Linked DNA regions of Nothobranchius furzeri. The protein of the gene in region 1 purifies or fractionates together with the protein of each later gene. This does not show direct contact. Links are inferred from orthologs where the notes say so. Each region holds a gene or a part of one and is shown in the gene's direction. Other genes may lie near its edges.

Evidence for each region. Proteins that work in one complex are often made in the same cells at the same time.
Region 2: the proteins of arhgap12b (region 1) and asap1b purify together in Homo sapiens (co-immunoprecipitation; 3 studies listed by BioGRID and IntAct, with this or other methods). This does not show direct contact. The link is inferred for Nothobranchius furzeri from reciprocal best matches to the Homo sapiens genes ARHGAP12 and ASAP1.
Region 3: the proteins of arhgap12b (region 1) and tjp2a purify together in Homo sapiens (co-immunoprecipitation; 3 studies listed by BioGRID and IntAct, with this or other methods). This does not show direct contact. The link is inferred for Nothobranchius furzeri from reciprocal best matches to the Homo sapiens genes ARHGAP12 and TJP2.

Annotation. Positions count from the first base shown.
Region 1 is NC_091751.1:39,417,202-39,422,304, reverse strand, and holds part of arhgap12b (rho GTPase-activating protein 12b), read left to right. Parts: intron 1-3,938; coding exon 3,939-4,067; intron 4,068-4,570; coding exon 4,571-4,645; intron 4,646-5,099; coding exon 5,100-5,103. UniProt on the Homo sapiens protein: GTPase activator for the Rho-type GTPases by converting them to an inactive GDP-bound state.
Region 2 is NC_091747.1:45,634,855-45,639,957, forward strand, and holds part of asap1b (arf-GAP with SH3 domain, ANK repeat and PH domain-containing protein 1), read left to right. Parts: intron 1-57; coding exon 58-173; intron 174-260; coding exon 261-328; intron 329-712; coding exon 713-820; intron 821-5,103. UniProt on the Homo sapiens protein: Possesses phosphatidylinositol 4,5-bisphosphate-dependent GTPase-activating protein activity for ARF1 (ADP ribosylation factor 1) and ARF5 and a lesser activity towards ARF6.
Region 3 is NC_091746.1:73,890,190-73,895,292, reverse strand, and holds part of tjp2a (tight junction protein ZO-2a), read left to right. Parts: intron 1-1,109; coding exon 1,110-1,325; intron 1,326-1,446; coding exon 1,447-1,461; intron 1,462-5,103. UniProt on the Homo sapiens protein: Plays a role in tight junctions and adherens junctions. Acts as a positive regulator of RANKL-induced osteoclast differentiation, potentially via mediating downstream transcriptional activity.

The DNA of each region.
Region 1 (5,103 bases):
CTGTTTATTCTAGGGGCCCACAAACTCAAAAACATAATCCTATATGTAGTCTGGCCACGGCCCATTAACTCATTCACTGCCAGCCGTTTCCTGATCGGTAAAGCCCTTCGCTGCCAGCGTTTTTCAGCATTTTTACAGTTTTTTTTAAAGTCACAGAACGTTACGTGCTAGGATGATGTCGACACCAAAACTACCAAAACAAAGAGTAGACTCACCTCTTACATCAGGAAGAATCTGCGCGTTTCGAGTGTTATTCGTTCTTTCATAATGCGTTGTTGAATTGTGATCGGCAGAAGCTTTTCCGGTTCGCGCCTCACTTTTTTTTACATCAGCGGCCCAACACAATCTCCTAACACGTGGATTTTCTGCTTCCTGATCACGTGACGTGTGCGGATGAAGATCGGCTTTAGAGCTGGGATGTTTGTTCGCACGGTGCGGGGGCTCGTTCCGATGCCCACACAGTAAAAACATGCAAATGACGACTTTAGTTGTCATTGGCAGTGAACGAGTTAACGGCTCTCAGTCATGGGGCAGGGTCTACGCTTGTCTTTCAAACTGTTCCCACATGCTATTGGATATAAAACGATGTGGCTCTCTCTCTCACTGCTACAAATAGGGATGGGTACCTTTGACATTTGAATCGATCCGGTACTAATTCCCGGTACCTACGAATCGATACCGGTACTTAACGGTACCAATTTTCGATACTTTTGAGTGTTTAATATTTTAATTCACTTAATTAAATACAAATTTTTCTCAATTTGTAACCATATTTGATCAATTTCACGATAAATAACATACAACTGTTTGTATTTTAACATAGTCCTTGTAGTTTTATAAGTTGATAATAAAACTGAAGCAAACATCTTTACTGTGAACTAAATTTACTGTATATCTTCATTCCTTTTGCCATCCTTTTTCATTTAATTTTTCCTACTGGGAAGTTAGAATTTCCGAGGAGAAAGCGAACGCACTATTAGCTGATAAAAATGGTGGCAATGGAAGCTAACATATCAAGCTAACGTTATCTTAAACAGTTTATTTAGTTGCTGAAGCAGATTAAAACGATGATGCCTCACACTTAGATCGTTGTCGCTGGTTTCATCTTCACCCAATCACCTGTCGCATTTAGTAAAGTGAAGCCAAACTTTAGTGCACGTTCATGTTCTTCTAGTCGGAAATTCGGAGTTCCGAGGAGAAAGCGAACGCACCATTAGCAGAACGGAAGCTAACATATCAAGCTAACATTATCTTAAACATTTTATTTACCTACCAGAGCAGATTAAGATGAGGATGTCTCACTTAGATCGTTGTCGCTGGTTTCATCATCACCCAGTTATGGGCTCGACACACGGGAGGTGACAAACGACCGCGATCAGCGAAATTTGTCGCTGTCGCTTTTATTACCTGACACACGGGAGGCGATCTGCGGCAGCGGCCAGCGGCAAAGCCGTCTACGCGTTCTGCTCCATGGCGAAATCGAAACTTCCATTGTTTTGCTTGGCTGTATCAGGTTGGAGAGAATTAAGGTTATTTAAGCGATTCAGAGTCAAAAAATTGGTAGATATGATGTTTCACAAGGTGCTGTTAGAGTTATGTGAAATCTTACTTCTGATTTTACTATATAAGACATAATAATAATCAACTTCTCCTCCATGTATGCTCGGAGGTGTACGGAGCATCCTGTTCGCTCATTGGTCAGTGAATGAAACCTCCTTTGATTGGTCCTCGTCCGAGCAACAGCGATGAAAAGTTGAAAATGTTTCGACATTCTGGGATCGCGTCGCTGGGTCGCCTGTGCACGACACGTGCACGAGCGCAAAATTTCACATGCACGTTTTTCGCATTTCGCTTGGTAGGAGGGAGACCCGCATGTCTCATTGAAAATGAATGGAGGAGAGGCGATGTCGCCTCCCGTGTGTCGAGCCCATTGGCGTGCGTTCTTTCTACCATGCTGCTCTGTTTACAACTCGCTCGCAGCGACCGACGACATAACATTCTTGCACATGTGCAGCTGTCTTGGCAAATTCTCGTTATGAAGGACGGGTACCGAAACGAGGCACCGTTTCAAATGACGTGAATCGGTGCTCAGTCGGTACTATGGAATTCGGTCGGTACCTTAAAAAGTACCGAATTCGGTACCCATCCCTAGCTACAAATGTCGGTCAACGAGGCAGTCCGCCATACGTTGTCAAAGGAGATGCAAATACGTCCTTTTTAAGTAGTTAAGTACATCTGTCTGCTCTTGACTGAATAGTCCAAAGTAGTTGCTAAAGGCATTTTAAATAAGCTGTGGCCATCTTTGTTTTTTCAGTAACATCCAGCCTACAGAGTGCTGTGATTGGCTCACCAACCCATTAGAGCACTGTGATTGGACCCCCACTGATGTTAGTCAGTGGGACGTCCGCCATTACATAGTGGAGGAACTACATAAAACCTGAAACAATGCATAATTTTTCTAAATAAGCGAGCTGTGATTGGTCAGCTACAATTCTGGCCGGGCTTGCGGAGGTTTCAATGGAACGTGCCTAGACCGACGTGCAAAGAAAAAATATTTTAGCTTCGGCAAATGACGGTCTAGATTCTAGGCTACAAATAATTTAAAAATTTAATAAATTCATTAAAAATAGTTTTATTTGTGCTATTTGTGTCAACCAAAATTAGGAAGTAGAGCTCTGCATGGGACTCTTTAACTCTTTCGCTGCCAGCTGTTTCCTGATTGGTAAAGCACTTCGCTGCCAGCTTTTCTCACCGTTTTTAATGTTTTGTTAAGAGTCACAGAACGTTGCACGCTAGGATGATGTCGACGCCAAAACAACCAAAACAAAGCAGAGACTCACCTCTTACATCAGGAAGAATCCGCGTGTTTTGAGCGTTATCCATTCTTTCATAATATGTTGTTGAATTGTGATCGGCAGAATCTTTTTCGGTTCGCGCCTCACGTTTTTTACAGCAGCGGCCTAAAACGATCTCCTAACACATGGGTTTTCTGCTTCCTGATCATGTGACATATGCAGATGAAGATCGGCTTTAGAGCTGAGATGTTTGTTCACACTGTGTGGGGGGCTCGTTCCGATGTCTACACAGTAAAAAACTGCAATTGACGACTTAAGTCGTCATTGGCAGTGAACGGTTGAATTTAAAATGACGACTTTAGTCGTCAATGGCAGTGAATGAGTTAAAAATCCTGCTCCTGCTGATTATGTCTGACGCACCCCCGCCTGCTCCTGTAGTATTTAAAAATTATGCACAGCTTTCCATATCTCAGGATTTACGTCCTTCCCTTTAGCTTTCTTCTCTTCCGTCATACTTTATTACCACCTTAATGTTTACTCTCCATTCTACCAACAGCATTGGGACTCACTGCCTGTCTTTAACGTGCTGCTCCAGCCAGCAGCAGTCTACACCCACCTGCTCTGTTTGGTGGGACACCAGTCCCAAAGCAGGGCTTTAGCAGGAAGCCTGGTTCATACCAGGAGACGTTTGGGTTTAAAGACAAATGTTTACAATCAGTTCAGTCCAGCAGTCTCTGAATCACATTCAGTAGATACCAGATAGCACCGGACGAGAAACATGCAGAAACCTCGAGCAGAACCAGGATAAAAGTGGGCGGCTCTCTGGCTTGATCTTCTAATACAGAAGAGTTGGTCCAGTCATCATTTTTATGGAACAAAGTATCATCTTCCCCCTGAAACAGGAGCGCCAGAGCTTTTGTTCCACATAAAACAGCTCACAAAGCATTCATTCATACTAGAGACCACAGCAGATTAATGTAAGATGAACAAATGATGTGCAAACACAATCTGTAAGAAACATTCAGATTAAAAACAAGTTCATTAATAACGACGCCCTTCTACATCATAAAAGTTGCATGGAAGGTTTTGTCACAGACTGACTCATATTTGAGTGGTTATTTGTTGTCCATCTCTGTCCTGCAGTATAAACACTCCCCACCTCAGCTATCTGGGAACGTCTCAAAGACTCAAAGCCTGGACCGTAAGATCGCGGAGCCCATCGTTTTAACAAAGTGGAGACACAGCGCCTACATCCAGGAGCCAAGCGAAAAGGTTTGACATCATCAAAGCACTCGCTAAGAAACCCGTTGTTTCCTCTTATTCCTGACCGTTGGTGTCCTGCCGGTGTGCAGACCAAGGACAGTGTCGCTGGCTGAGTTTGTTGAGTGTCAGATTTAGACTCATTCCTTTTGCAGCGGCTGATAAAAACCAGGCGTTTTCGCTCAGGCTCCACCCGGCCACACCCGTACAAACCCAAAGTCAGTAATCTGAACAGAACAAACCCAGTCGCCGTGCATGAGGAGAATCACACAGTGATAATTACATTTTTCTCCACAGTTTGCTGGTTGAGTTGATTGGTCCTTTAATCATTAATGACCTTAACAGGTTTTAAGCAACACAACAAATTAACCTGAAAACACTTTTCTGAATCTTTTGTTGATGAATGTTTGTGTTTCTACTAAAACCCACAGGTACTGAACAGCTGCTGCTTGAGCCTTACATCATCTTCTCTTCTACGTGTCTGTGACGATGTTGTTGTTCTGTCTCTTCATTAGGATGCTCCTCTGTCCCCAAAGCCCCCTTCTCCTGCCTCTGACTCGTGCTGTTCGTCTCCAAAGCCCCCCGCCTCTGTTAGTACTCACCACTAACGTCACACACTGCAGGGTTTATCCTCCTCTGGGGTTGTAAGGCACCGAATCAGGTTGCAGCATATTGCAGAGTTCCTGCACAGGACTGGAAATCCCGCAAACGATTAGATTAAATATTTTATAACAAAACTGGAGAAACCCAAACCAAACTGATGGAATCCTTTCTGTGTTGGAACAGTTCAGACGGATGTGATCTTTGCTGCTTGGTGTGAGCGTGTGTCTTTGAATCACTGAAGAGTTGTTTGATCTAATCTATGTGAATAATCTCTGCTGTCCTGAGTGGGAACAGTGGTTAAAGTGGTTTCATTTCCTCTCCTCTGAAAGCTGTTGTTGCTCTGGTTGTGGGAGTTTTGGTGACTTGCGTGGCTCTGCTGAACTGGTGGGGTTCCCGGGTTTGTTTTTAATGCCATCATCTGCTGCTTGTTTCTGTCTGCAGCCGT
Region 2 (5,103 bases), on another chromosome or scaffold:
TAGGAAACGCCTCCAGGTGCCCTGACCATACGAGTCTGTTGTTTTTTTCCTCTGCAGTGGTAACCTGGATAAGCAGACGGAGTGGGGGAACACCGCCCTGCATTACTGCTGCATGTACGAGAAGCCCGAGTGCCTCAAGTTGCTACTGAGGGGCAAACCGGCCACAGACATCAGTGAGTCAGGGTTCAGCCACCCATAAGCACAAATCACGGTGTTTTATTTTCTACATATATTTTTTTTTCTCCCTTTTTTCATTTCAGCCAATCAGAATGGAGAGACGGCTCTGGATGTTGCCAGGCGACTGAGGAACAGTCAGTGTGAGGAGGCAGTAAGTTACAGGAGGCCGAGTGGCCGGATCTGACCAGAATGAGCCCTCCTGATTTAAAAACACGGACTAAATTACAGAAAGTGGAGGCTTCAAACGCTTTTGAAGCTGCAGCTGTTTGATGGGACGAGTGTGGATGAGTCTGAACACTAGATGGCAGCGGAGCTGCTGTCTCCATCCAGAAGGGACAGGAGCAGCCAAGTGGAAGGAATTGTTCATGTGTGTTTGTTATTAACGCAGATCTGAACAAGCAGAACCAACGGGGACAAAAATAAATCTAGTTTAGAGGGATTGAGCTTTGAAATCCTATCATAGTTTGCTTTTGCCATCTTGTTGTAGTTTCCCATAACAAGAGCAGCTTATAGATAGTTTTGTTGTCTCTTTCAGCTTGTCCAGGCTGCAGAGGGGAAGTTCAACCCTCACATCCATGTGGAGTATGAGTGGAGCCTCCGCCTGGAGGAGATGGACGAGAGTGATGACGACCTGGATGATAAGGTGCCTAAGCTGCTGAAATTTGCCCCCGGATTTAGAAAAACTTGTGAATTTTAAACAAAAAAAGGCAGCATTTAAGAAGATCCAGTAAAAAGTCACCCTGATGACCTTTTCTTCTGCCGTTCTGCTGGTGGATTATTGGATTTCAGTGAGAGCTAATCTCTGTAGCTTCACTTGCTGGAGGAGAGCTAGTATTCATTGTCTCTAATGTTCATCAAGTTAACAGCTGTTCTAGCCAAGACTGGCTGTGCATGCAAGAAAAACAAAGCATTATTTTTACTCTCTTTATAAAGTTGATGTACAACTGAATATGAGCTGTTTTCGCTTTAAAGGTGCAGTATGTAAAAATATTGTGAGAATTTTACAGCAAGAAAATCCCAAAGGTGCTTTTATAAGACACACCATGCCGGTAAATGGGCGTAATATTACCGCAATGGTATGTCTGCGTGGCTGCGTGAATTTTGCGGCATTCGTTCCGCCTCGCTTGGTAGTAATATTGCGGTAATGGTCTGTCGTATGCGCCCCGGCGCAACAGAGGCAGATGTCATGATGACGTGGGGAGTTATTGCTGAGCTCCGGCTGGCAAATCTATTGAAAATGAAAGTAAACACAGGCAATAAGGTTTGCTTTTTGTGCAAAATCAGCTGAGATGGCAAACTGGAGCGCCGCAGCGCTCCATGAGCCTTTTTGTTAGAGCTGAAGCTCAGATCACCAGAGACTGCACAGGGACTGATGGGGACAGACACCTTTAGGAGCTGCTTGTTAAATAAAGGTAACGATCACGGCTTCAATCGCAATAAAAAGCAAGTTATGTCCAAGATAAACGGAAGCCTGCGGCAGCGCAGAGCCCAGCCCCATACCCCCTTTATGCCGCCATCACCTAATCTTTTATAAAATTGCCACGATTGCGCCACATTACCGCCATGGTCTGATCTTATAAACAGCCTTTATCCTCCCTAGAGAGCCGCGGCAAATCCTGTATTGAAAATGCTATGGTCCTGTAAAAACAGCTCAAAACAGTCAAATGTTTCAGTCATGAAGCATGTTTCATATCCAGTTGGCTGCGGGGATTGTCAGTTTTTCCTCCTTTCCAAACAAAGGAAGGAGGGACGTCAGGGTTTCCCCCAGCGCCGCCAGGCTTTGCTTGGCCACCCGCTAGGCTAAGAGTCATGCCCCGCCCCCCTCCCCGACCCTACCGTGTCCGCTGACACGAACGGCGCAACGAAACTAGAGCCCCCCCATCACCTGATACTGTTGAGAAACAGCAGCAGAACGTGTGCAATCACCCCCGCTGTCACAGAGGAGCGCTGCGAGATGGAGCGCGCGATCCCCCCCTTCCCCGACGGCCGAATCCGCCAGGGTTAACTAATTTTCTGGGGGAAACCCTGGACGTAACTATTGTTTACCATCAGTGAGTGTGGGGTTGCCGTGTCCCCTGCAAGCTAATGCTGCAGCGCTGACAATTGTAATTTGACAATGGCCGGCAAACAGCTCCAGAGTTGTTTAAATTGGTGGCAGTTACTAAATTTTACCACAGGACGTAATTTTTACTTCATTTCGACACAATGCACCTTTAATGCAGAAATTTTAGGGCAAACAGATTTCTTAAAAAAAAAAAAAACTTTTTTTCTCCAGTATCCAGAGATTTGCTGCTCGTTATTTTTGTCAATAAAGATTTAAGTTGCTTCTTTGCCAAAAATGTGTAGAAAAAGTAAATTTTTCTACCTTGATTTTCAGAAATGTGCAGAAACCACATTGGGGGGCTGTTAGCTTGAGTCAGGTTTAGCTTTAAACGTCAAGAAGCTGTACACACGGGCATTTAAAACTGATGTTGTATTATTGAGTTAATATTTTGCAGTAACTTCATTGACTTGTTGAAAACGTTTTGAACTGGGAAGTGGCTTAAACTTTAGCGAAAGTCAAAAGCAGAGGCATGTGGCTCCAATGACACTCTTAGGCTTTTTCATGTCTAAATTTGAGAAGAAAACAAGATATTGATTTAAAAATGGAAGAAACAAGCATCAAAATGTTTCTTTGTGCTGAAGAAGAGCCTCCCTTCAGGTTTGTTTGTTTGTTCTTATTAAGATCCCCATTAGCCACTGTTAAAACAGTTGCTATTCTTCCTGGGGTCATATTATCATCATCAAATAAACATAAGGAATGCATCAACACTGGGCTCACAAGCAAACTATCCATTTTCATCTACAATATTCATATCCACTATAATGTAAAGGATGGGTAGTTTACATCTTACTTATGAACCATAAAATGTGAGATTCCATAGAAATATGAAATATCAATCTGATGGATCTTTGAATATTTTAACCAAAAGATCAGAACTTTTTATTGCAGGGATTAAACGACACTTCGTATTAACTCCAAGGAAAGAGAGAGAGTCAGGTTTAAAATAGTTAAGAAATTTATTTCTACACAATTTAATCAAGGCTAACTTTAACACTCTGTGTACTGATGGACTAAGGTGGGGTGAGACGTGATGAATGATGATGGTGTGTGTGTGTAATGTTATTCAGAACCAGCGGATCCGGAGAAGCAGTTAGTTCTGAGTAGGAGTGAATGTTTCGCTCTAAACTTTAGTAGGAGATTTATAACACACATGAAACGCCATCTGTCGGTCTACATACCCAGGGGAAGCCTCCGATCAGATCCAGAATGCCGAGGTCCTTGTGGACCCTCTTTGGTACCGAAGCCAGTAGAAAAGCAGCGGTGCTGACCAAACCAGTCTTGGAATGCTTCCAGGTCACGACAGGTTATCACTGGCGTCTCCGAGACCCTGAAGGGGTCGTGAGGTTCAGCTTTTATTCTGAAGGAACCGTTGCGGTCAGGTGTAACTTCCAACAGATTTTATCAAGCTTGTCTGAGGTTCTTTATGGCTGAAGAGGAAGTCCGCATGGCCTGTCCGAGACTCCTCTAGAACACTTTGAACTAAAGAAAAGGCGGCGTTGAATAGTCTTTATAATTGTCATATTTTGGTTTACTGGCGAATCAGAATTTGACATGCAAAAAGAGGGTTTATACAAACACCACAGAAAACCACACCTCATGCCAGAAACAAAGGTTCTGATTGGATCAGACAAAAGGAAATGTGTCGTGTGACTTTAGCATTATGTGTCCTTAGTGTCTAGTGCAAATGTCCAGGATTATTATTACTTGTAAAATACTACTGATCACAGGATTATAATATCAAGTAATAACATTGTCATTTCACAGATTGATTGAACATTGGGCTCACATTATTATTGGTAATTAACAAAGTTGTTGATTATGTGTTTATCAAAAGAGTGTTCTTCGTCTTGAGCTGTAACAGAGGTGAAGCAGTTCGAGAGGGTGCTCGCTGCAGAACTACAAAGGCGGAGCTGCACCATAAGGTGGAGCTGCACCAGAGTCAGCCCCGCCCATTCACGCAAACTCAGCCTAGCCCACTGACTTCCGTTTTTGTTTTCAACTTTATCGCAAACTGACCTGACCCACATGAATTACGGCTGTTACTAGTTTACAGTCGTTAATGCTATGTTCTATGCTCCAATTAAACAAGATAAATATAACTTGCTACATGACAAAGTCTGAATATATCCCGAAATAAAAAAGTTTCTCTTAGCGAATATCTGCCCACAGCCGCTCTAATAAAACTCCTGTACAACAGCATGTACCATCACCATGTGGGTTCTGTTAGTCCAGTGGCAAGATCGTTTGAGTTAAGTTTTGCTTTCCCCTCAGCTGATGCTGGTTCGATTCTCGGTGGGGTCGGCAACAATCTATTTAGCCAGCTGAAACATTGAATTTGTTCATATTTTAGTTGTAATGTTCATTTTCAGCAAAATATTTATGTCTCTACAAGTTCTTTGAATTTGGTCGTTCCTAAACAGCATTTTAGTTGAAACTCTGCTCACAGATGGACTCACACTGGCTAAATAAACGAATGAATAAATAAAAAAAACACATTAGTCATTATATGTTAAACGGCATACCAATAAATTGTTGTAAACATAGTACTGGCAAGTGTAGCTAGAAATGAGGAAAAGAGATTATAGGATATTTCCACTGCTGGGAGGCGAACCCGCGCAAAACTGCATGTCAACCTGACACCATCACCACTACACCACCATATCTGATAAACACTAGGTGGCGTTACATTTTATTATGCTATTTAGTGTGTCTTTGGAGATGGGATGTATGGTTTATTGGCGGTGTCTCAGTAGAAGTCATTTCAGAAATAATTTGTCAGAAAATTCACAGAATATCCAGATTTGAGAACCAAAACCAGACCC
Region 3 (5,103 bases), on another chromosome or scaffold:
TCTTTTGGACAGCTTTTAAGTCAGAAGTCTTCCCCATGATTGTGGTGCCTTCAAAACAAGACTGAGGGACCTTTTAAAGGCCTTTGCAGGTGTTTTGAGTAAATCAGCTGATTAGAGTGGCAGCAGGTGTCTTCTATATTCAGCCTTTTCAGAATATTCTAATTTTTTGAGATACCAAATTTGGAGTTTTCATTAGTTGTCACTTATGAATATCAAATTTAAATGTAATGAACATTGGAAATACATTGGTCTGTGTGCATTGCATGAATATAATGTACAAGTTTCACGTTTTGAATGGAATTACTGAAATATTTTCAACCTTTTGATGATATTCTAATTTACTGGCCAGCACCTGTATAAAGCAGCCGCAGCGCCGCTACCTGCATATAAACCGTGTCACGGGCACCCCCATACTGAAATGACGCTATGCATTACGGGGCTCCCAGGGGCAGATAAGAGTTGGTCTCTCTCCGAGAATAATTATGTATTTAACAACGATTACTGCCTGATGACATTTTCCCACATCTGCAAAGCTCACTGGAAGGACACAAACCAAGGACGATATTTTCCTGATATAGGGTTTATTACTCAAGTAAGGGTAAAAAAGTATCTGATTAGAAGGCTACTGGAGTACTGAGTATCATCTGGTCTAATATTTTTAAAATGATGACATCAAACGGACAAAAAATAAGAAGTTATGGGCAATTCTTGGTATTTTAAAGACTAAAGGGAAAAATGTAAACAAATAAACAACATAATTACAAAATAACACATTTTAGGCTAAATTTAGACACAAACTGAGGACAATATTTTCCTGACATACAGGGTTTATTTAATTTTGTGAAAATGTAGCACGTTTAAAAAATAAATACCGCGATAATACCGAAAACCGTGGTAATTTTGGTCACAATAACCGTGAGGTAAAATTTTCACACCGTGTCGACCATATTTGTTTTACAGATATGTTGTAGCTGAAAGTCAAATCGTCTGGGAATTTATGTCGGTTGTTTTTCTCAACATAAAATGATCTTTTGTCCTGCGTTTTCTGAAAACTAACGGAAACCTACTTAACAAGTGTCTGAAATTCCCAAACTTTGCCCGTTGTTTAGTTGCGGACCCAGACTCGGAACGACTCCACCCGGAGCTACGAGTCCCAATCCAGCAGCACCATCAGCAGCAGCGACGCCGCTATGGGAAGCCGGCCGCTCCCCCCGCCCGTAGCTCAGAAACCCGCCATCGGCCGACTGAACCAGTCATCGGAGGAGCAGAGTACTGGGAAGGACGAAACGGAGGAAGATCCCGCCAACAAGTCCTTCCTCGGAAAGGTCAGCAGTAAAGCATACATCTGCTGCAGATGTTCCCCTCCTGCTTTTTCTGCCTTTCTTAACTGACTTTTATTTTCCTTCTTTTCTTCCTCCTTTGCTTTCTCTGTGAAATATGAAATAGCGAATGGGTCACCAGGTAACTACTAATGTCCGCACCCACTGTTTGTTTCAGGTCACAGGTAACGGGGTAATAAGGGGATCAGGCTAAATATAGAAACAAGAAGCATGAAAATATAATTATATTCACTCAAACTTAAACAGTCAATCGTACGAAAAAATATAAAAAAGTTTGAGGGTTCAAATCTCACTTTTGTGATTTTTAGTTGACCTCAGAGAAAATCTCAGTGTCTCCTTTAAATTTAGGTACTTTTGCCTTTAAAATAGTCTAATAATGAACATTTCAGTTAACATGTTATTTCTCTGGTCCATAAAGATGCCTTTGAATCCTAAAAATTCAGATTAACTCGTTCACTGCCATTGACGACTAGTCGTCATTTGCGTGTTTTTACTGTGTGGGCGTCGGACGAGCCCCCGCCTCTGTGAGAACAAACATCCCAGCTCTAAAGCCGATCTTCATCCGCGTACGTCACACGTCATGTGATCAGGAAGCAGAACATCCATGTGTTAGGAGATCGTTCTGGGCTGCTGCTGTAAAAAAAAAGTGAGGAGCGAACCGGAAAAGCGTCTGCCGATCACAATTCAACAACGGATTATGAAAGAACGGATAACGCTCGAAACGCGCAGATTCTTCCTGATGTAAGAGGTGAGTCTCCTCTTTGTTTTGGTTGTTTTGGCGTCGACATCATCCTAGCGCGCAACGTTCTGTCATCTTAAAACAACAGTCAAAATGGTGAGAAACGCTGGCAGCGTATGAGTTAAACATATTTAATATCATTAATTTTTTTTATTTTACAATTTTCTTTCAGAATAATTTGACATTCTCAACATACACCCATTTAATTTTCTGGCTCATAAACTGCTGTTGTGCGTTTTAAAACTTTAGGAAGATAATAAATGAAATGACTTTCCTAATGAATACAGACGAACGTTATTAAAGGTGTGGAGCACCGAAAACAATTTTTATTGAATATTTCTAATTAGAACGGTTCACTGTGAGTTTAACATGCAGGCTGAACATGAAATAGTTTCCTACACCTACCTCCTGGATTAGCTTCTGATAGAAAATAGGAGTAGAAAATCTTGACAGATCAATTCACCCTGTCACTAACATTCATGGACTCACCTATCTGCACTCACGGCGGGGAAGACTGTTGGTGGTTTAGCGTCCAGGAAACAGCAGAGAACGTCTCAGCTAGTAGAAGCTAACTGTTAGCATTAGCAACTCCACCACACAGCAGAACTCCTCCAGGCTTGTTTGTGGAGATAAAACATCAACGTTGCAGAGCGAACTTAGTCAGCGGTAGTTGTGTTGCGGTTAGCCAATCAGATGAGAGATGTGTAAATATCAGGAAATAAGACACTTAATCCTGTCGCCTGAAGCTCAACTCTGATCTGGATCGCTTCTAGTTTATAAAAACGATGATTTGTTTGTACTTTATACATTTTATGAATATTTTGTAGGAGAATTTAGTTTTATTTTGAATGTCGTTAAAGCCGTACCCGTTTGCTCCCTCAGCAAACCGAGCTGTGACCACGGACCGTACCATACTGGGATTTTAGGCATGCTGGTTCACCCCGATGCTTCCTAAAATAAGTGAGAAGTTAACGAACACAAATAACAGCTTAAAATGTACAACAAAGGACTTCGAGGTAAAATCAGCCGAGAGATTATTTCTGTACACCTAAAAGCCGTAGGAAGCCACCAGCCTAACCCCGTTCTGGCGTCTTCCTCAAGGTTCAAGGTCACTTTATTAATACCCACAGGTAAATTTGATTAGCCATGTGACACGAGAATTAGTGCCCAGGTTACACACAGCCACACACACAGACACACACAGATACACACAGACACACACAGACACACACAGACACACACAGACACACACAGCCGCACACAGATGCACACAGCCACACACAGATACACACAGATGCACACAGCCACACACAGATACACATAGACACACACAGATACACACAGACACACACAGACACACACAGATGCACACAGATGCACACAGCCACACACAGATACACACAGCCGCACACAGCCACACACAGATACACATAGACACACACAGATACACACAGATACACACAGATGCACACAGCCACACACAGATACACACAGACACACACAGATACACACAGCCACACACAGATACACACAGCCACACACAGATACACATACAGGTGCTGGCCAGTAAATTAGAATATCATCAAAAGGTTGAAAATATTTCAGTAATTCCATTCAAAACGTGAAACTTGTACATTATATTCATGCAATGCACACAGACCAATGTATTTCCAATGTTCATTACATTTAAATTTGATATTCATAAGTGACAACTAATGAAAACTCCAAATTTGGTATCTCAAAAAATTAGAATATTCTGAAAAGGCTGAATATAGAAGACACCTGCTGCCACTCTAATCAGCTGATTTACTCAAAACACCTGCAAAGGCCTTTAAAAGGTCCCTCAGTCTTGTTTTGAAGGCACCACAATCATGGGGAAGACTTCTGACTTAACAGCTGTCCAAAAGACAATCATTGACACCTTGCACAAGGAGGGCAAGACACAAAAGGTGATTGCTAAAGAAGCTGGCTGTTCGCAGAGCTCTGTGTCCAAGCACATTAACAGACAGGCGAAGGGACGGAAAAAATGTGGTAGAAAAAAGTGTACAAGCTCTAGGGATAACCGCACCCTGCAGAGAATTGTGACGACAAACCCATTCAAAAATGTGGGAGAGATCCACAAAGAGTGGACTGCAGCTGGAGTCAGCGCTTCAAGAACCACCATGAGGAGACTCATGAAAGACATGGGATTCAGGTGTCGCATTCCGTGTGTCAAGCCACTCTTGAACATGAAACAGCGCAAGAAGCGTCTCGCCTGGGCCAAGGACAAAAAGGACTGGACTGATGCTGAGTGGTCCAAAGTTATGTTTTCTGATGAAAGCAAGTTCTGCATTTCCTTTGGAAATCAAGGACCCAGAGTCTGGAGGAAGAGCGGAGAAGCACAGAATCCACGTTGCATGAGGTCCAGTGTAAAGTTTCCACCGTCAGTGATGGTGTGGGGTGCCATGTCATCTGCCGGTGTTGGCCCACTCTGTTTCCTGAGGTCCAGGGTCAATGCAGCCGTCTACCAGGAAGTTTTAGAGCACTTCATGCTTCCTGCTGCTGACCAACTTTATGGGGATGCAGACTTCACCTTTCAACAGGACTTGGCACCTGCACACAGTGCCAAAACCACCAGCACCTGGTTCAAGGACCATGGTATCCCTGTCCTTGATTGGCCAGCAAACTCGCCTGACCTTAACCCCATAGAAAATCTATGGGGTATTGTGAAGCGGAGGAAGCAATACGCTAGACCCAACAATGCAGAGGAGCTGAAGACGACTATCAGAGCAACCTGGGCTCTCATAACACCTGAGCAGTGCCACAGACTGATCGAGTCCATGCCACGCCGCATTACTGCAGTTATTGAGGCAAAAGGAGCCCCGACTAAGTATTGAGTGCTATACATGCACATTCTTTTCATGTTCATTCTTTTCAGTTGGCCAACATTAGAGAAACAAACATTTTTTCATTGGCCTTTAGAATATTCTAATTTTCTGAGATACCAGATTTGATGTTTTCATTGGTTGTCACCTATAAATATCA